Linked DNA regions of Rhinolophus ferrumequinum. The protein of the gene in region 1 interacts with the protein of each later gene in a pairwise test. Links are inferred from orthologs where the notes say so. Each region holds a gene or a part of one and is shown on either strand. Other genes may lie near its edges.

The links.
Region 2: the proteins of NUP58 (region 1) and MIS18A interact in binary tests that used the Homo sapiens proteins (3 or more experiments, as listed by UniProt). The link is inferred for Rhinolophus ferrumequinum from reciprocal best matches to the Homo sapiens genes NUP58 and MIS18A.

What each region holds. Positions count from the first base shown.
Region 1 is NC_046287.1:97,837,795-97,846,696, forward strand, and holds the start of NUP58 (nucleoporin p58/p45), read left to right. Parts: upstream 1-4,960; 5' UTR 4,961-6,543; coding exon 6,544-6,650; intron 6,651-8,902. UniProt on the Homo sapiens protein: Component of the nuclear pore complex, a complex required for the trafficking across the nuclear membrane.
Region 2 is NC_046285.1:98,524,313-98,533,407, reverse strand, and holds the start of MIS18A (protein Mis18-alpha), read left to right. Parts: upstream 1-5,122; 5' UTR 5,123-5,146; coding exon 5,147-5,489; intron 5,490-8,565; coding exon 8,566-8,632; intron 8,633-9,095. UniProt on the Homo sapiens protein: Required for recruitment of CENPA to centromeres and normal chromosome segregation during mitosis.

The DNA.
Region 1 (8,902 bases):
CTGGTTTGATTCCCACTTGGGCCAGTGAGCTGCACCTCCCCACAACTAAATTGAAAAAAAAAAAAAAGACTTGACATCCTGGAAAAACACACTGTTCCCCAACATTACACTGTTCCTCAACAATAGATCTGTCTTGCAAGAAATGTTAAAACAAGTTCTTCAGAGAGAAGGAAAATGATATAGGCCAGAAACTTGGATCTACATAAAGAAAGGAAGAGCATCAGAGAAGGAATAAGTGAAAGTAAAACAAAAATTTATTTTTCTTATTCTTAATTGATCTAATAAATAAGCTTGTTCATAATAATAATAGCAACAATTTGATTATGTATGCTTGTGGTATATATATGTGTGTATATACATACTCATATAAGTGAAATGAATGGCAGCAATAATACAAGGAAAGGGACAGAGGAATTAGGATTATTTTGTTATTGTAAGGTACTCACTCTCCCCAAAAAATTATGCTGTAGAGGAACATTACATAACAAAAATGTTAATGCTGTATTACTGAGTGAAATATAAACTGCCTATAGAATGGTAAGTTCAATGTGATTGTGTTTTGTAATTTTTATTTATACAAACAAAACCTTACATTTCTAGATGGTAGGATTACCCGAAAGCTCATTATTATAGGGATATACTAAATATTCCTAATCTGGGCTTCATTGCTGAACAACTCCCCTCCTGAGGGTATTGTTCTTTCTTTAGGTATGCCACTCGGTCATCTAAGCTCCTATCAGGACATAGGGAGAAGTCATGCTGTCTTCTTGAAGAGTCTTAAAACATCTATGATTTGATTAGTTTTATTTTGATGTGTATATTTATAATTTCCTTTATCATCCAAGTTCTAGGGGCCACATGGATTTTGCCATATATATGCCACACACAAAAAAAATGCTGATGTCACTAGTTACTGATGACTTTAATAAAATATCATTTTCTCAATTGACCATACATTTAAAGATGAAGTTTTTTGCATCAAAAATAACAAATACACAAAAAGCATTAAATAAACAATCATGATGATTTGAAATAATGAGGAATCAGAGCTTTCTGCAATCATTTCTCCCTAATGTTTCATGTTAATTTTTATACTGTTAAAAAAAAAACCCACTTACTTTCCCTATAAAATGTACAAGAGATGTCTGATGCTATGATTGTCATGTGAGAAAACGTTTCATACTTTAAAATTAAATGTTGATGCTTTTATGTTTATTACCAGCTAATGGGAAATTATAAAAGCAATCATACTTCCTAATTTGAGTGCTTCTTAAATAAACATAAATCATTAAAAAAGCAAGACTATTTCACTTGATTACATTTCTCAACCTTTATTTTCAGGTGTATTATTTCAGAAGATGAAGTCGATGATCAGAATTCTTTCTGGAGTCAAAGCTATCTGAATTCAAATTTCATTTCTGCCACTTACTGGCTATGTGAGTTTAGTAAAACTATTTAGTTTCTCTAACTCTTGGTTTTCTTATCTGTAAATAGCAGTAGCACTTATCATTATCTCCTCCACTGAGTTATTTGTGTTGGTTAAATGAAATGATTGTATAGAAATACTTAAGCAGGGGGCTGGCCTCAATAAATGCTCAATAAATAATAGTTATGTGTATGTGTGTGTTAAGCAGAATGCATCCTATTATCCCCAGAGATGTCTGGATACCTGCTGAACCTCATTCTAATTCTTCAGCACTGAGTTCAGAAGTTTATTTGGATCTGGCTGTGTTCACTGGGGAGACTGAGTGAAGGATAAAACAATTGTTCTTACTGTAGTGCACTGTATACTGTATCATATTATGTTGATCTTATTGTTTTCTATAACCCTGCAATTGAAGAGGTGCACGTGGCTTAGCGAAGTGCATATATCCAGGTTAGCTGACATACAGGACTGCTTGTTTCATGCTCTGTTGGAGGGAGACATATTATTATGTTTCCAGAAGGTCAATGTGACCCTCACTCTTTCAGGATTTGAAAACTTGAAAGCTTGCTCCTCATTGTTTTAAAGAATTTTTAAATTATTTTTCTGTGTATCCTGTGTGATTTTCTCTCTGAATTCTTTAATGAGTAGATCTTGATGATTTACCCAAGTGGTAGCTGTGTCTGGTCTGTCTATTTGTGCCTGCTATTGACATTGGCTGATGCAGTGGTCAGTCATGCTCTATGCTATGTAACCACTTTATGAACACTGGGTTCTTACGGGGTGAAGCAGGCAGCAGCTTTCTTTCTCTTCACTGCTATCCTTCAAGCCTGCTTTGTCGGCTCCCCTTCTGCCTCTCCTCAAATAGGAGCTTGAGCTCCTAGAGAACTACTAGTCACTCTTGGGTTTTAGAACAATCTGATTTTTAGGAGTCAAAGAGTACAGTCTAATATAAATAAAAATTTGCCCTTGTATCTAATTCAAAGTTCTCCTCTTTCCCTGTACTCCTGTTTTGGTAACAGTGCAGATGGAGGTGGGGACAGAGGGGAAGGGGAATCTATTTTGACAAACTTATTCCATCTTCTCCCCATTTGCTTGCTAACTCCTGCGTTTTCTTCCTGAGACTCAGGTCTTACTATACTAGTCCCATTACTATCTGGCATCACTGATTTTTGTGTGGCAGATCTATGAATGTCTGCATCTTTCTCCCTTGGGCACTCAATCAATTAATTCTTCCCCGATCTGCTGTGACCTAGAAATCTCAATTCTCTGAAATACAACACTTTTCAGTTCATTTCTTATGAGCTAGATCTTGGTTTCTGATATACTGAGGTCTGGCCATTTCTTTTTCTAGATTTTCTTGAAACTTCCCTGTATCCGCATAATAACACTGTCTTCACACATTCCCTCACAAATACACATTCATGCTTGAACTACTTTGATAAGTTTTCTATTCCTTGCAACCAAAACAGGCCTAACTAAGTTATGGGAAAACTGATGACATCACAGGGAATTGGACAGGCTGGAGGGAAATTTCGTCCATGCTATGGAAAAGTCTTATGACTGTATTCCTGCTTCATAGCAGTGGACATTGGTTTAGTGGCCAGAATACATGCATCCATCAGGTATGGCAACTTGTTTCCTTGAATGATGAAAAGAATAAATGCAGATAAATTCTTCCTCTTTGGTGCCCATTTTTTGGAGACTAGAAGCTGACCATTGCCTTTCTGGTAGCATGTTTCAAAACAATTAGATAACAGGTTGTTGTTGCTTTTATTGTTATATTCCAGTCCTATAGATATTTTGGACCTTGGTTCATCTTGGATATTCATTAACACATGTAAAATGTTTCTGCAGTAACACAAGTAAAAATGAGTCTTTTAGTGTGGATTCCTACTCAAGATGATATACTAAATTTAGCTATGAATAATAGAGACCCAACTATAATGGCTTGAACAATACAGAAGGCAATTTTTATCTCATTTGAAAGAGATGTGAAGGTAAGCAGACCAGAGTTGGTATGCTGGCTCTATGATATCATCAAGTACTTACATTTATACTATTTTTCTGCTATACCCTCCTTAGCATATGACTTCTGTTCTTAAGTTCTTCACAGTCCGAGATGGCTGTTGGAGACCCAGTCACGTGTTTAAGTTCCAGGCAGTAGGAAGGGAGAATGCCAGTTACCTCCTCTTCTAAATAAGTCACACTGGAAGTCTTATCTCATGTCTCCCACTGACATCTAATTAGCCACATTTACTTGTAAAAGAAGCTGGGATATGTAAGCATTTATCTGGTTAGTGTGCTACCTTAAACAAAAGTGGGATTTTTTTTTTTTTTAAGGAAAAATGAAAATTGGTGGCAACAAGATAGCTTCCTTCATTAATTTTGACATTGCCAAGTTTCTTTTCCTGATCTTATCTTTATCCACTATGAAGCAACTTTTTCATTTCCCGCCCCCCCACACTCACCCACAGCAAGGACATTTCAAAATAAATGACCACATGTTGAATCAAATACATTTAGCTTCATGGAAAATCCCTATATTGCTTCCATTTTTTTCTTGGGTTATAGGTGAAAACTTCATTGGGAAACCGGTCATTACTATTCTGATCCTTGGTTGGAAACTTTTGGTATTAGCTTTAGCTTCTCCCTTAATGTTTTATTTTGAAAAATTTCATACCAAAATAAAGTTGGAAGAGTACAATTAAACAACAAATATACCTTGCTTGTAGAGTCACGAATTGTTAACATTTTGCACATTTTCATTATTGATCGATTGCTCTATAAATTTTATTGTTGTTGGATCTTTTGAAAATTTAATGGGATTTTAGACCCCTTCGGAGAATAAATTCAAGATAGAGGGCAACTGGTTATTATAAAAAGGATAATCTTCTCTTGGATATTTCATAGGATCAGACCATACATATTACAGATCCCTTTAAATAGACTTCAGATTGCAACTTCCGTTCTGTGTCAGAGCCTTTCAACTGATACTTCTCAAAGGGTTAATCTGATCTGAGCATACCATAAAGCAAGCCTATTTAGATATTTTAATGCAAACCGAAATTAAAATTATAGTGCTATTGCATTTCAGATAATTCAATTTGATTATGACATTAACAACGTCATTGTATAGCCAGTAAATCAGCAAAAGATGGGATTTCTTACCAGAATTCTCACAATAAACAAAAAGCCAGGAGGAAGCAAAGTGGCTTGCCATAGAATTTAGAAATCTGAATAACTTGCTTCATCGTGGAAAGCAGTAATTCACATAGAATTGATATATAGTTCAGGTTCCATAATGTCAAAGAGGAATATTTGGAACATCCTTTACAATAGGATGTCACTCACACTAGGTAAGGAAGGTTAAGCCAAATTCCAGTGCTCCATCGTTTTGCCTGGCTGCATAGGTTTTAGGCATAAATGCATAAATAGGCATGAAAATTATGTTATTACCATTTTACTGTCTACTTTTCAATTTAATAACCAAGTAATTGGGCTTACAGATACTGCTTTCATTGGAGTTTTATTTAAATAGGACATAAAGATGTGTTTTCTTTTCTTTTTGCTAACAGGACAAACAGAAATCGTCTGAGAAAGGGTCTTTAAGGACCAACCATTTAGAGGCATGTGGTAGACTGTAATACTGTTCATCAAACATTGCAGTTTCCATCTCTGCAGTGCTCCTGTGGGATGTTTTTCGGTTGCTGCGGCACAACTCAAACCACTCTGATTTGAATGAATTTTGGAGGGACACAATTAAGCTCATAGTAGGTGGCAATTCCCAAGTTCAACGCAGTACAAAGTGCTACATTAAGGGCAGTTGTGAGATGTGAGGTTAGTAATATTGGTCACGTGGGGGGCACTGAGTGCCAAACTAGAACCACTGAGTTTTTTTTTATCAAAGCAGTGTGGAGGTGAGAATTCTGTTTTAGGAAAGCAAATCTGGTGGTTGCTATGGGATCAATTTTACTGGAAGAAATCGGAGGTAGGAAAACCATTTGCAGGAGCGATGTAACAATCCCTGATGGAAAATTAAAGATCCACATTCCAACGGCAGCATCTCAAACGCACCACCGCCTGGCAGTCTTTCCGGATCCTTCCGCCAGAGGGGATCTTTTCTACGAACCCGTATTTTCTTCTGTTTAAGGGTTGCTCCTAGAACACTTAAATATCACCTTATATTGTACTCGTTTCCGTAGTTTTCTTATCCCTTCCACTTTGCAGTTCCTCTAGCAGGTGGCACCGTGGCGGCGTCGGAGCGCCGCAAAATCTGCAGGAAGCGGTCGCGGCGGGCGGGGTCTCACACTCTTACGCTGACACCCTTTGTAGACTTGACTACGTTCTTTAGACATCCAGGGGGCTTGGCCAGTTGTTTGCTCAGCACAGCGAACAGGGCGGCCTATGCCACCCACAAAAGGACGCACTTCTCAACTTTCTCGGTGTCAGGGCATCGGGCTCCGCTCGCCATGGAGCAAGAAGGTGATGCTCACTTCGTTGAACGGATGACTTAATTATTATCGATTAATTTCCTGGCAGGAAGCAGACACACTCGCCGTCCTTTAAGGGGTGGCAGCCACCGAAAGACTAAAATAGCTTCCTTTTCTGTAAGAGGGGCTTGGAATACTCAAGAGGACCCTTTCACCTCCGAGATTCTGCGCATCGTTTTTGGCAGTAAGCAAGGATATAAGCAACAATTGAGATTCGAAAGCCATAGAGTACTGACTACGTCAGCATAGAGGCTGATTGAAAGCGAAATGGTTCCGTTTGTATAGAAATCTGTGAGCCTTCCCCTAAAGGGAGTAAGCAGAGCGCCAACTCCGCCTTCTCCCAGGGTGCTCTGCGCGACACGTCGACCCCACCCCGCATCCCAGGGTTCCCTGCACGGCGGTCTCGCTTCCGGTGGGCTGCGTGCGCGCGCCCAGCGCCGGAAGGTGCTCATGAGTGATTGCTCCGCCCACCCAGGCCTCATCTTCGCGGCTGCTGGGGTTTGAGGTTCCCGCCGGGCAGGTCCGGGCTGGGCGAGAGCGATGCTGTGCGGCCCGCCTCGGCTTTGAGGCGAGAAGAGCGTCCCAGACTCCTTTCCGCTTGCTGACGGCGCTGAGCCCCGGGCAGTCATGTCGACGGGGTTCTCCTTCGGGACCGGCACACTGGGCTCCAGCACCGTGGCCGCCGGCGGGACCGGCACAGGCGGCGGTTTCTCCTTCGGGACAGGGGCGTCTAGGTAACCGCACTTCCTCTCCTTCCGGGCCCGGGTCCTCCCCGCGAGGCCCTCGCGGGGTGGTCCCGCCTCTCTTCCCGCTGGCTTGGAGAAAAAGAATTGCCTCGCGCCAGCTTCGTAGGCCTCCGCGCTCGCTTCCCAGCTCGGGCCCGACAGACGGCCTGGTTGAGAGGAGCGTGGATGGTCTCTGTGTTGTGAGGTCCCCAGAACCCGCGATGGTTCGTATATTGTTCCTACCGAGTGAGATCTGGCTGGGAGTTGACATCCGAGTCCTAGCAAATTCGTCAGTCTTAGGCACAGAATGAATGTTGAGCGAATGAATGAAATTGTAGCTTGTTGTGTGGGGTTTTGGAAAACACAATTAATAGAAAATTTGAAGGAGGACAAATCAAAGTTTCTCCCTGATAATTCAGATTCCATTGCAGGATATACGGTTTTAGACACTACAGTGCATTAAAGATTTTGTAGTTAACGAGCTTTCAAGTCTTTGTGCCTCATGGGACCCTCTGTCCTTTTTGTTTATTTGTTTTAAATACGTTTTACAGCATTTATTGGTGATAATTTTGGACAGTATGCAAGTTAGTAAAGTGGGGATGTTGTGTATTAATGACTTACATTGCCTTGATTAAATTGCAAAACGTAGGTGACATTCATCGTTTGTGTGTAATCTGCTACACCCTAAGTGGTGACAAAAATTTGGTTAGCAGAAGTCCAGAAAGAGGCAATTAAAATAGTTAAAGATCATTTTAGCGATGACAGATTTAAACTTTAGAACTAAATATTTCGAAGATAAAGGTGGAGGAGTTCATTAAATCATAGGATGAGTTACAAGATATCTTGTGAGGCTTTAAGAATGTGGTTGTAGATTAAAGAGACAAAAATACCTTCAGCATTATCTGTATTTAAAAGGGAGGTGGGAACCACAGAGTACACAGTCAAGTCAGAAATCTGGAAGTTTTCCTTAATACCTCCTTTTCTCTCACTCCACACACTTAATCAGCGAGGCCTGATAATTTGAATTCTTCATTTTATATTTGCTTCATTTCCAATGCTACCACCCTGTTGCAAGGTCTTGTCATTTGTGGAACAAATACTTATTGGACACACTTCTATGTAGTAGGCTCTGTAGTAGGTGGTAAGATAAGTAGGAGTCCTACTCTCCTGAAGCTTATGTTCTTATGAAGCTTATGTTCTTATGAAAGTACTTAAGATTCCTGCCAGGTTTTCAACCAGTGACCTTTCTCTTGTGAAATGAGAACTACTTCCATCATCTTCTACTTAGATTAGTTCAATGAAATCCCAGTTGCTGTCTCAAAAATCTACTTTTATGTCTCTCTTTTTTTACTACATTGTAGCCAGGTTGATTTATTTTAAGTTCGCATTGCCTCTCCAATGATTTTCCACTATCATTGGAATGAAGTAAAAATAAATCTTGCTACGGTCCACAAGACCCAAATAAGCTGGAACCTCTTAGGCTGGCTCATCCTGAGCCCATCGTTTCAGTTTGCTCCAATTCAGTGGTCCAGACCCATTGTAAAAAATAACATGTTGTCACCCAGTTCAGGAACACAAGTAACAATGTTTCAGAGAAAGATACTTACCGGTATCTCATGTGATACACTTTGATATTTTCTATTCTGTTGTATTTCATTTAAAAAAAATGCTGTTACACTCTACTAAATTGATTTTATACCTTCTGATGGGTCCTGATCTTAGTTTCAAAAACACGGCTTTAGCAACAGTGGCTCTTTTCTCAGTTCCTGAGGTGGGCTTGGCCAAACTCCATCACACTTTAGGGCAGGTTCCTCTGCTTGGAGTTCCTCTACCACCTCCTTGCGTAACCATGTGCCAAGCTAATGCCTACTTTTGGGACTCACATGTTTACTTCCCCAGAGGCCTTTCCTGACCTCTCAGTGCAGGAGATCTGCCCATCCTCATAGCACCCTGCACCCTGCACTTACCACAATTGTAATCAGTTCAGTATCTTTCTGTTGACTTACTGATTGTCTGATCCCAGAAATAGAATGTATGCTCCATGACGGTGGAGACCTTTTCATACTGTTTTTCCAGTAGAATAGTGGAGCTGAGTACATATTTGTTGGATGATCGATCAGTGTGTTTCTCTCACTGCCTGGAAACTTCCGGAGGGCAGGGTGTGAGTGTTTATTATCATCCCATCTGCAGTGCTCAGTCCCTGTGACAGTGCCTGGCCGGTAAGAAGGGCTTTAATAAGTACTTGTTGAATGATGGGGTAA
Region 2 (9,095 bases), on another chromosome or scaffold:
CTCTGGGATGGGGAAGGAGTGAGATAAGACCTTCGAGATGGGAAGCCCCACCTGGGGTTGGGGAGGAGGGTGGAGCACTTTTCCCAAGAAAAGGAGAAGGTACTGGACATATAACAGCCCAGATGGCCACTAATCTCTGCCATTCACTAGATTCATGACTTTGCAGAGTGAGATGTGTGGACTAAGCATCTCTATGATTCTTTCCCAGCTCAAATATATTATGATTTTTCTGAAAATCACATGTTCTTTTCATTTTTTTTCCAACTTGCATGAGAATTAAATATCTCTGTTAAAGACCGGAAAATCGTGATTCCACACATTGACTAGGAGAGGGGAACAGAACTATTTAAAGAACATCCTGCCTCTGAGGAGTTTTTGAAAGGTGAAGCATATTCCTGTAGTTCTTGTTGCACTCCTGGAACACAGATATAAATATCTAACCATACTTTTCCCACAGCACATCTTATCCCCCTAAGGAGGGCTCTGATTGTGGCAGGAGGTCCCTGGGGGCTCAGTGAGCAGCATGGAAATTTCTTGGTGCCAGCAGGTAGGGGGAGGCAGCTGTGGGTGCCATTTGGCTCCCAGACATATCTCCACCAATAAGAGTTGGACCAAATGGTCCTCAAATGCAGCTGCAACCAGCTCTCTAAATACTAAAGGGGACAGACAATTGACTTCTGTGACCTACAATCATACCTCATTGTCATTCTTATGGGTAAGTGCAAGGAAGTGCATGCAATTAAAATCTAGAGCATGATTGCAATCAGTAGCCATTAACTCCCCATGTTCTCCAATTGCCAGAGCATTTTTAATAAGCCATACATTTTTCCAGCAAAATTGTCAAGGCCTCATTAGTTTCTTCTATCCTTTTTCCTATTTCTTCTCTCCCCTAGTTGTACCTAGTTGTTCTCTCTCTCTGTCTCTCTCTCTCTCTGTCTCTCCCCTGGTGCTAGCCGTTGACATTAAATCAGACTAGCATTTATTTATTATTTACACCAAAGCTTTTGAACCCAGCCAGAAATGAGGATTGAATCAGATAGTCCGAGTAATGGGTATGTTGAGCAAAAAGAAGGATTGAAGGATAGAATCAAAATAGAACTCTATTTGGAATTTTGCTTCCTCCCGTGCCCTCAGGACTTATTTGGTGCCCCAGGATGAAGACAAGGGCAGTGTGTGTGGGGTTCCTTCTGCTTGCCTCTCCAGATCACTCTCCACCCTCACTTGTATAAATCGCATCAATATGCTCAGTGATCTCTGGATTGCTACTGGATTTTGACCACTGGGAGCTCCAGCAGGAAAGTGGAGGGAGGGAGGGATGAGACCACGGTCGTCGGGGGATTTTTATCTCTTGCTTTCCTCCCTGTGAGGTCACCTCAGCTGGCTGTGTCCCTTGGTGGAAGGGTGATCCTCTCAAAGTAGTCTGCTCTTCACAACTCTCTTTCCTTCTGGGTTCTAGTAACCTCTCACTCCCTGCATCGCTTTGGGTCAAGGGAAGGGTTGTGTCAGCGCACTGCTGTTCACTTGGGTTCCTGCGCTATCCCTCAAGATTCTCTCCTATGTGCCATCTACACCTTTATTATCAGACTGTTTGTAAAGAAATGCTCCCCGTAGTCTCGGAATTTGAGTGTACCTCTTAGGGGGTAGACAATGCTGCAGCTACTTTAGTTGCAAACAAAATCTCAATGTCAGAATGATAATATCCAATCTAAGATATTAATACTGCAATCTTCACTCCAGGATAAGAACTGTTCTCCTCCCCAAAGTAGGACATGTAAGTGGGCCCCTGCTTCTAGTGGGGGAGGGGTGTGTGGCTGGCTCTGCTTTCTTTCTCACTTCTCCTTGCTGTTTCCATTCCTAGGTTAAAATGGGGAACAAAGAGGTCAAGATGGTATTCATTTGAATTGGTTCTATCCTAACCTGGCTTCGCACCCTCTGGCCTGGCATGGTTAGAACCATCTCTCTCTCGACCCCTTGGAAACACCTTGCACTCTCACCCCCAGCTGCACACCCACGACCCAGGAAGGTCTCCCCTTGGACTGGCTGCTCCCCTCAGCCCTGCTTCTCCAAGGCCCCTTTCACACTTGGATGTTCGCTGCTGGAGAATCTTCATTCTTTTGTATCCTCTTAGGGTAGGTGACCTACCCACCAAAGTTCCTATCTGGTTGACAACCTACCTGGCTCACCTTTGTTATGCCACCAAGACAGCTTGATGCCTGCTGTCCACTGTCCCCAAACACCTGGGAACCCACAGACTCCGTAACTGGTTCCTCGAAGTCTCTTAGCCAGATTGAGGCAAGGGGAAGATACTCTCCACCTTCTCTCATGGGGAGAAGTGGAACTCATAACCCAGCCTGTCTCCAAAGAAATCTTTCTTATGAAGTTATCTTGGTCACCACTTTCTCCAGGCTTTAATATTCCCCAAAGGTGGGAGCTAGTTTAGGGCAGGAAAGAATTAGTTCTCCAATATCGGCTCTGAAGTTCCCTGCAGAGGAGATAGGCAATCTGTCTCACACATTTTAGTGTGTCATTTTTACTCATCTTCGAGTCTCAGTCAAAATTTCCACTTTAACATACTGTAACACACAGTTTTTAATTGCTAGTAAAACCAAAACCACTCAAACTGGCTTCCACAATAAAGAGAATATGTTGGCTTGCATAACTGAAAAAGTCCAGAGGTTGAGCTCTCAGTTTCTCTGTGATTCTCTCTGTTCTGTCCTCCGTCTTTGAAAGGTGACCTGGGTATGTGCTTCCCTGCTCACATTCAGGGAACAAAGCGAACATCTCTGCCTTTAACCATTGAACAAGAGTCTTGAGATTTACTCTGATTGGACAAAATTTGACAACTTAGATGAAGCTGTTATCCTGAGCCAATCCCTATAGCCAGAGAAAGAAGCACAATGCACTGATTGGCTTAAGACTGGGATAGGAGCCATTCCTCCATCAATGACTATGGAGAAGATGGGTTATTCTGATTAGGTTAAACCTCTGGGGACCCTTTCCTAGAATTGGTGGTGATGGCAGTGGAGGTGATGGGGGTTGGACTCAACCTTATCCAAATCTCCCAGTTGTAAAACTAAGAGGAAGGGTGGGACTGGTTGTCCAGGAAGCAACTACAACCACCCAATCCAAGGTCATCTTCCTCAAGCATCTCATTTCTTCCTCAAGCATGTCCCCACATAAAATATGACTTTGTGGGTATCTAAATACTATGTATTCATAACACTTGGGACTGTAGAGTTTGTTTTGCATTGAGGTTGACATCTCACTAGGCGTGGTGCCTAAGGCCCATAATATAATTGTGGGTCCCCATAAAAATGTTTTAATCTCTTTTAACATCAGAAGAAAAAAATTAAGTTTTAGGTCAAAGAAAATGTTTTAATATATCATATTTATATTGAGTCTTTATAGCAATACAGTTGTAAAATATAATTTATATTATTATTATTATTATTATTATTATTATTATTATTTCTAGAGGAATGGGCCGGCACCATAGCAAAAGTGTGTCGGTGAGGAAATGATCAGGAAATCCACTTTGCATTTCTTCTTTACTGGGATATCCCGCCACAGAATTTAAGTGTTGAGGCAGAAATCATCCCTTGAATTCCAAGATGACTACCCACTTACTAAAGAACATATATAGGTTTTATCAACCTTGTACCAGAGACACTGTGTTGACAACCACAGTCCAGAGACGTCAAGCTTGCCTGCACAAAAAAGGAGGGAAAGCAATTCTATGCGTGAAATAAAAACCGAAAATAATTCGAAGTATTTTCCTCTAGCTGGAGGCTAATTGACATGGGCATGGTGAGCTAAAGTATTTTCATGTATATTCTATCACTTGACCTTCATAACATCACTGGTGCAGTACTGACCCATTAATCTTTGAAGAATCCGAATCAGGGAAGGCAAGTAGCCTTTCCGCAGTTTCCTACGCAGTTACTAGAACCTCAGGGAAGGATGGGTCAACCCAAGGCTTCTGACTCCAAAGCTTTTGCTTTTTTTGCAAGTGGCCAGAGGCGCTAAAATTTGAAGTAAAATTTATGTAAATAACTTATCTGACCAACAAAGTGGGCAGTGATTTAGGGCACACCTAAAGGATCGTCTGAGCAGACCCTGGGCCTTGGGGGTAACTTTCTTTCTAGACATGCTCCCGGGTTGTCCGCGCTGCAGCTGGTCAGTTCCCCATCAGCCTTTCCCGTCTCTATTTGTGGTGCTTTAACGTCCGAGGCTGGCTTTCGGGGGCAGCTGAGCAAGTCTGTCCTTATCACACAGAAGGGATACTCATCGCGCAAGGGGCAGATGGCTCCCAGATCCGGACGGCAGAGGCACTTCCAAGCGTTCCTGCAACAGGCAGCTGCACACCGCGCGTATGCTTTTGCTTTGCAGGGCTGGCCGGAGTGATCCGGCGCCCTTTCCAGGGTCTTGTTGGAGCCATACCAGGGCACCCAAGAAATGTGTGACGGGGTGGCTCCCCAACAGCCCCTGCTTTCTCCACCTCGTGGAAATCAGGCAGACACACTGGAACACTGGCAATCCAAAGTGGAGCTGCCAATGCTGACAGAGTGGGTATCACCTAGGAGCTTGTTAGTTAGAAAGGCAAATTCTTGGGCCCACCGACCCATCGAGCCACATCTATGAAGGTGGGGCTCAGTATTCTGTGTGAACCAGCTCTCAGGCGATCTCATTACGCTCCAGTCTGAGGGGCTGTAGCGCCTCCAGGAGGGACGAGGCCATAGAAAGCAGATGTGCCCAACTCCTCTGTCTCTGGGTGCCGTGTGGGGCGGCGTAGTCGCTTTACCGACCACGGTGCAGGTCTCGGTGAGAGAACGGGAACTTAGTTCGGGGCGCGTAACTTTCTCAAAGACACCGCCCCTCCTACGTAAGTGGCTGGACACCCCTAACCAGGTAAACTGGCCATCACATCTCTAGCAGCCTTGATTTACAAAGGACGGAAAACCTGCAGCTGGCTCAATCACCCCCGGCCGGCTCAGGCGACGGCGAGCTTGCGCATTAGCGGGCTGCTCGCCGTCCCGCCTCCCTCAGGCCTCGCCCCTAAAGCCCCGGCTCCGCCTTCTCGCCACGCCCCACGCATGCGCAGAGGCCTTCCCCAGTGGCGCTCTGCTGCGCGGGCTATTTGTACGTAATGGCGGGTGTTTGGTCGCGGGGCAGTTGCGAAGGTTGCTCCTCTACCAGCTGTGCGTGTGGCAACAAGGGCACATGGAACGAACCCTCGCCGTTAAGCCAGCGACTATTGGAAGACTCAAGCCGCCACCAGCTGCTGCAGAAGTGGACGAGCATGTGGAACTCCGTGAGCGGGGACATGTCTGTGGCCTGCGCGGAAAAGACGCGGCGCACGGAGGCTGCGGAGCCCGCCGAGGAGGAAGACAGGCCACTGGTGTTTCTGTGCTCCGGCTGCCGGCGGCCGCTGGGCGACTCGTTGAGCTGGGTGACCTGCCAGGAGGACACCAACTGCATCCTGCTGCGCTGTCAGTTGCCGGGAGCGGGGGTGGGTGGGTGGGGGACGGGGGGTGTGTGCTCAGGGCCGCCTTCTTCCAGGTGGGCGACCCCGGAGGAGGCGGAGTGGGGTGGGTGCTTAGGGGCTGCCCAAGGTCTTTAAAAGCAGAAAAATCCAAGAGGGCGAGCTAACCCAGGAAAAGAGGAAGAGGAGGGTCACCCCTGCTCCTTGGGCTCACGAGTGACAGGTCCTTTTCTGGGATCCCCCGTCCATTCATCATCAGTAGCGGTTGAATGGGTATAGTTGTATTATTCAGTAAAAAATGACCAAGTAAATTGTAAGCATTTGAGCAGTAGACACTCTGTTTCCCCATAGAAATTAGTGGGCTGTTAATTGGTAAATAATATTGCAAATGGATTATTTAGGAAATCAAGCTTTTCAGCTACCTGCTTCCTGCAGGGGGACGTCAGGATTGATTTCTCACATCAGATTAGTTGTATCGACAGACCCCTTTACAGTCTGAAGTGTGGCGACCATGGAGTTGACAGAACACAATGCTATCAAAAAAGTTTTAAAAGGAAACTTGCAATAAAAGCACGAATAACCCCATCAAAATTGGAGAGGAAGGAGGATCTAGTAAGAGTTAACAGGAAGGCGGGAGTTCTAGCTTTTAATCTTGGCCTTACCAGTTAGTTACCAGTATGCTTTCCCACCTTTACCTGGTTACCTTGTTTTGTTGCTTTTATAGTATTTATTTAGGGGAGTGGTTCACACATATTTTGTTTCTGAATTCGTGTAAAATTGGCTCTTCTTTTAGGCCTTGTGGTTTTCAAGTTGAAGTTTATGCTCTGAATTCTATAAATGTTTTGATGGCACAAATTCACCACCAGTTTACTGACGTTCCTGGAATGGTTTCTTTCCTGTGACAAAATATCGGGAAGAATGGTGGGCTCCAGTGTCGGTCAGTTACCTGAAACTCTTTGGTACCTGCCGTTTGGCCATAAGGATGCATCGGTTCATTAGCAATAATCGCTGAGGAGTCCCTCTCAGTTGTTAAACAGAAGCCTAAGAATATACATCTCCCATAGTAATTCATTGGGATTAACCCTTTGACCTGTTGAAATCAAATAGTGGAGAAGGATGTAAACGTAAAAAAGGCCTTGGCCCTGACCCTGACCCTTCATAGCCCCAGAGTTAACGTGCTTAGTCTCGTTTGTCTTTCCAGATGTGCTTCATGCTTGTATAAGCATATCTAAGTATGTCTCAATTTAAAAACACACTTGCGATTGTATTATTTATACTGCTAAGCATCCTTACTTTTTTTATTCCACGGATATAGTCTGAATATTTTTCCATACTAGTGTACATGGATATCCTTGATTTTATCAGATGCTTATTGCGCTCTTGCTGAGAGGCTTTATAGTGTGGTGATGGCCCCCTCAACTGCTTGCTTGGGTTTCAATCCTGGCCTGCTCATTTCCAGCTATGTCTCTGGGCAAGCTACTTAGCATCTCTGTGCCTCAGTTTCCTCTTCTGTAAAATAGGGATTTTTACAAATTGATTTAACATCTCCCCCAATGAAAGATAAAAAAACAACAACAATGAACTCTTGGATTAATTTCCATTCTCTTCTGCCCCAGTTTGAGTTAGTTGAATTATTTTTACTTTGTCAAGATTTCTAACATTTACATATTATTCTGTAGCCATAGCACGGTCATTTTAGCTTTCATATAATATTTATGTGAGCTCATTTCTCAACTCCAGGACTCATCAATATTATGAGAAGGCTTATTGATAGCTTTCTCATTCCTCAGTTTGATTAATTGCTGTCAGTGGTCTCTCCATCCTCAAGAAAACTTCAAGTGTGAGTGCTTGAAAATGTCTTTCTGTTGTTTTTATACATGATGGCAACTTGGCTGTATGTACAATTCTGGGATCATGCTCTTTGCTTTTCCCAGGCACAAGGAGCAGTTAGTGCAAAGACCTGGAGACTTGTGTGGCCAAAAAATAGAATAACGATAAGACTTAGGGAGGAAGGAAGACACCCGAAAATTCAGGGCCTTGTAGGCTGTTCTGCAGAATTGGAATCTATTCTAGTGAGTGAGTTGTGTAAGCAGGGGTGTGACGTGACCCAGATTTTCATTTGGAGGAAGCATTGAAGGGAAGAATAAGGATGGAAGTGGAGGTCGGAGCTAGTGCAGTGGCTTAGGCAAGAGGAGGTGGTGGCGGTTTGGGGGCTGGAGTGCGACTTGTGAGGTGGCACAATTGACAGGGCTTATCAGTGTAGTGGGTGTGGGGGAGCGGCATGAGGGGATGCAGAATCAAGGTCGGCACCCTGGTTTCTGATTTGAGCCCCTGGATAGATAGGTAGAGTTTACCGAGTTAAGGTAGACTGTAGGAGGAGGTGACATCCAGAGTGTTTTGGCCATTTTAGCACCATCTCTTGCCTAGGCCCCATCCTTTGCTTTAGTGGGTCCTGGACCAGGATCCTCTAGGAGTGCTTCTTGATTGTTCTGGAGTTCAACTGTGACTCCTATCCGCGTCTAAAAGGTTTTTGGCTGGCTTCCTGAGGACACTCGCTAATTACTTTTAGAGAAATAAGCTGTACGTTTAAGCTCTGGAGAGCTGTGCACTGGCTTTCAGCATCTTCCTTGGTTTTGACTCCAGTTTTACTGTACCTGGCAGGTATTCCTGGTAGTTTTACTGTACCTGGCAGGTATTCCTGGTAGTCTGTGAGTTGAGGTTCTAATTGTTCCAGCTTTTACTGTCGATTGAATTTTCCCCTCTGATTTTATTCATTTTATTAACTTCAGTAGTTTTCTGGGAGGGAAGGAAATAATTCTTACTCTGCCACCCTTTTCCAGAATACTCCTGGACATTTAGCTTTAAACCACCCGTGTGTGTGTGTGTGTGTGTGTGTGTGTGTGTGTGTGAGAGAGAGAGAGAGAGAGAGAGACAGACAGACAGACAGATAGATAGACACTTTGGACTCTTTTTTTTTTCTGGCCCTCTGAATTGTAAAATAAAAGTTGAATTAGGAATTCTCTAAATGTCTGCATGTGTATTATAACAAACCACATTAATAAATTGTTGTTACTTCTTTCTAGGTGTTTCCTGTAATGTGTCTGTGGATAAGGAACAGGTACTATCCAAACGTGAAAATGAAAATGGTTGGTGAGTAAGGCTATATCTATGTGAGTATGTATGTTAGGGAAAATGTTTATTTTTCAAATAAAACTCTTTAAGAAGACTATCACCAGTAAGATTACTTGGGATAAAACTTTTTTCACGGTAGTCAGTTATAAAATCAGTCATTCTAGTGTATCAATTCTTGGGTGATGGTGGTCTCCTCTGGATATGGAGATGGAAGAGTTTTCTAAATTTCTAAAGGCACATTCTGACACTCCCTTTTGGGTCTTTGGGCTTGGTTGGTGCTGAAGAAAATAGAAAAGAAAAAAAAAAAAACCCAGAAAAAGAAAATACCCGTATCTTAAAATCTCAGAGCCAAAGGTGCCTTAGACCAGTGCCCACCTTTTTCATGTCATGGCACTCATACAAAATGCTGATACCATATGTACACACACATATAGCTTACGGAGGTCAATCGATAAGGCTGCATGTACCCAGAAATAACACG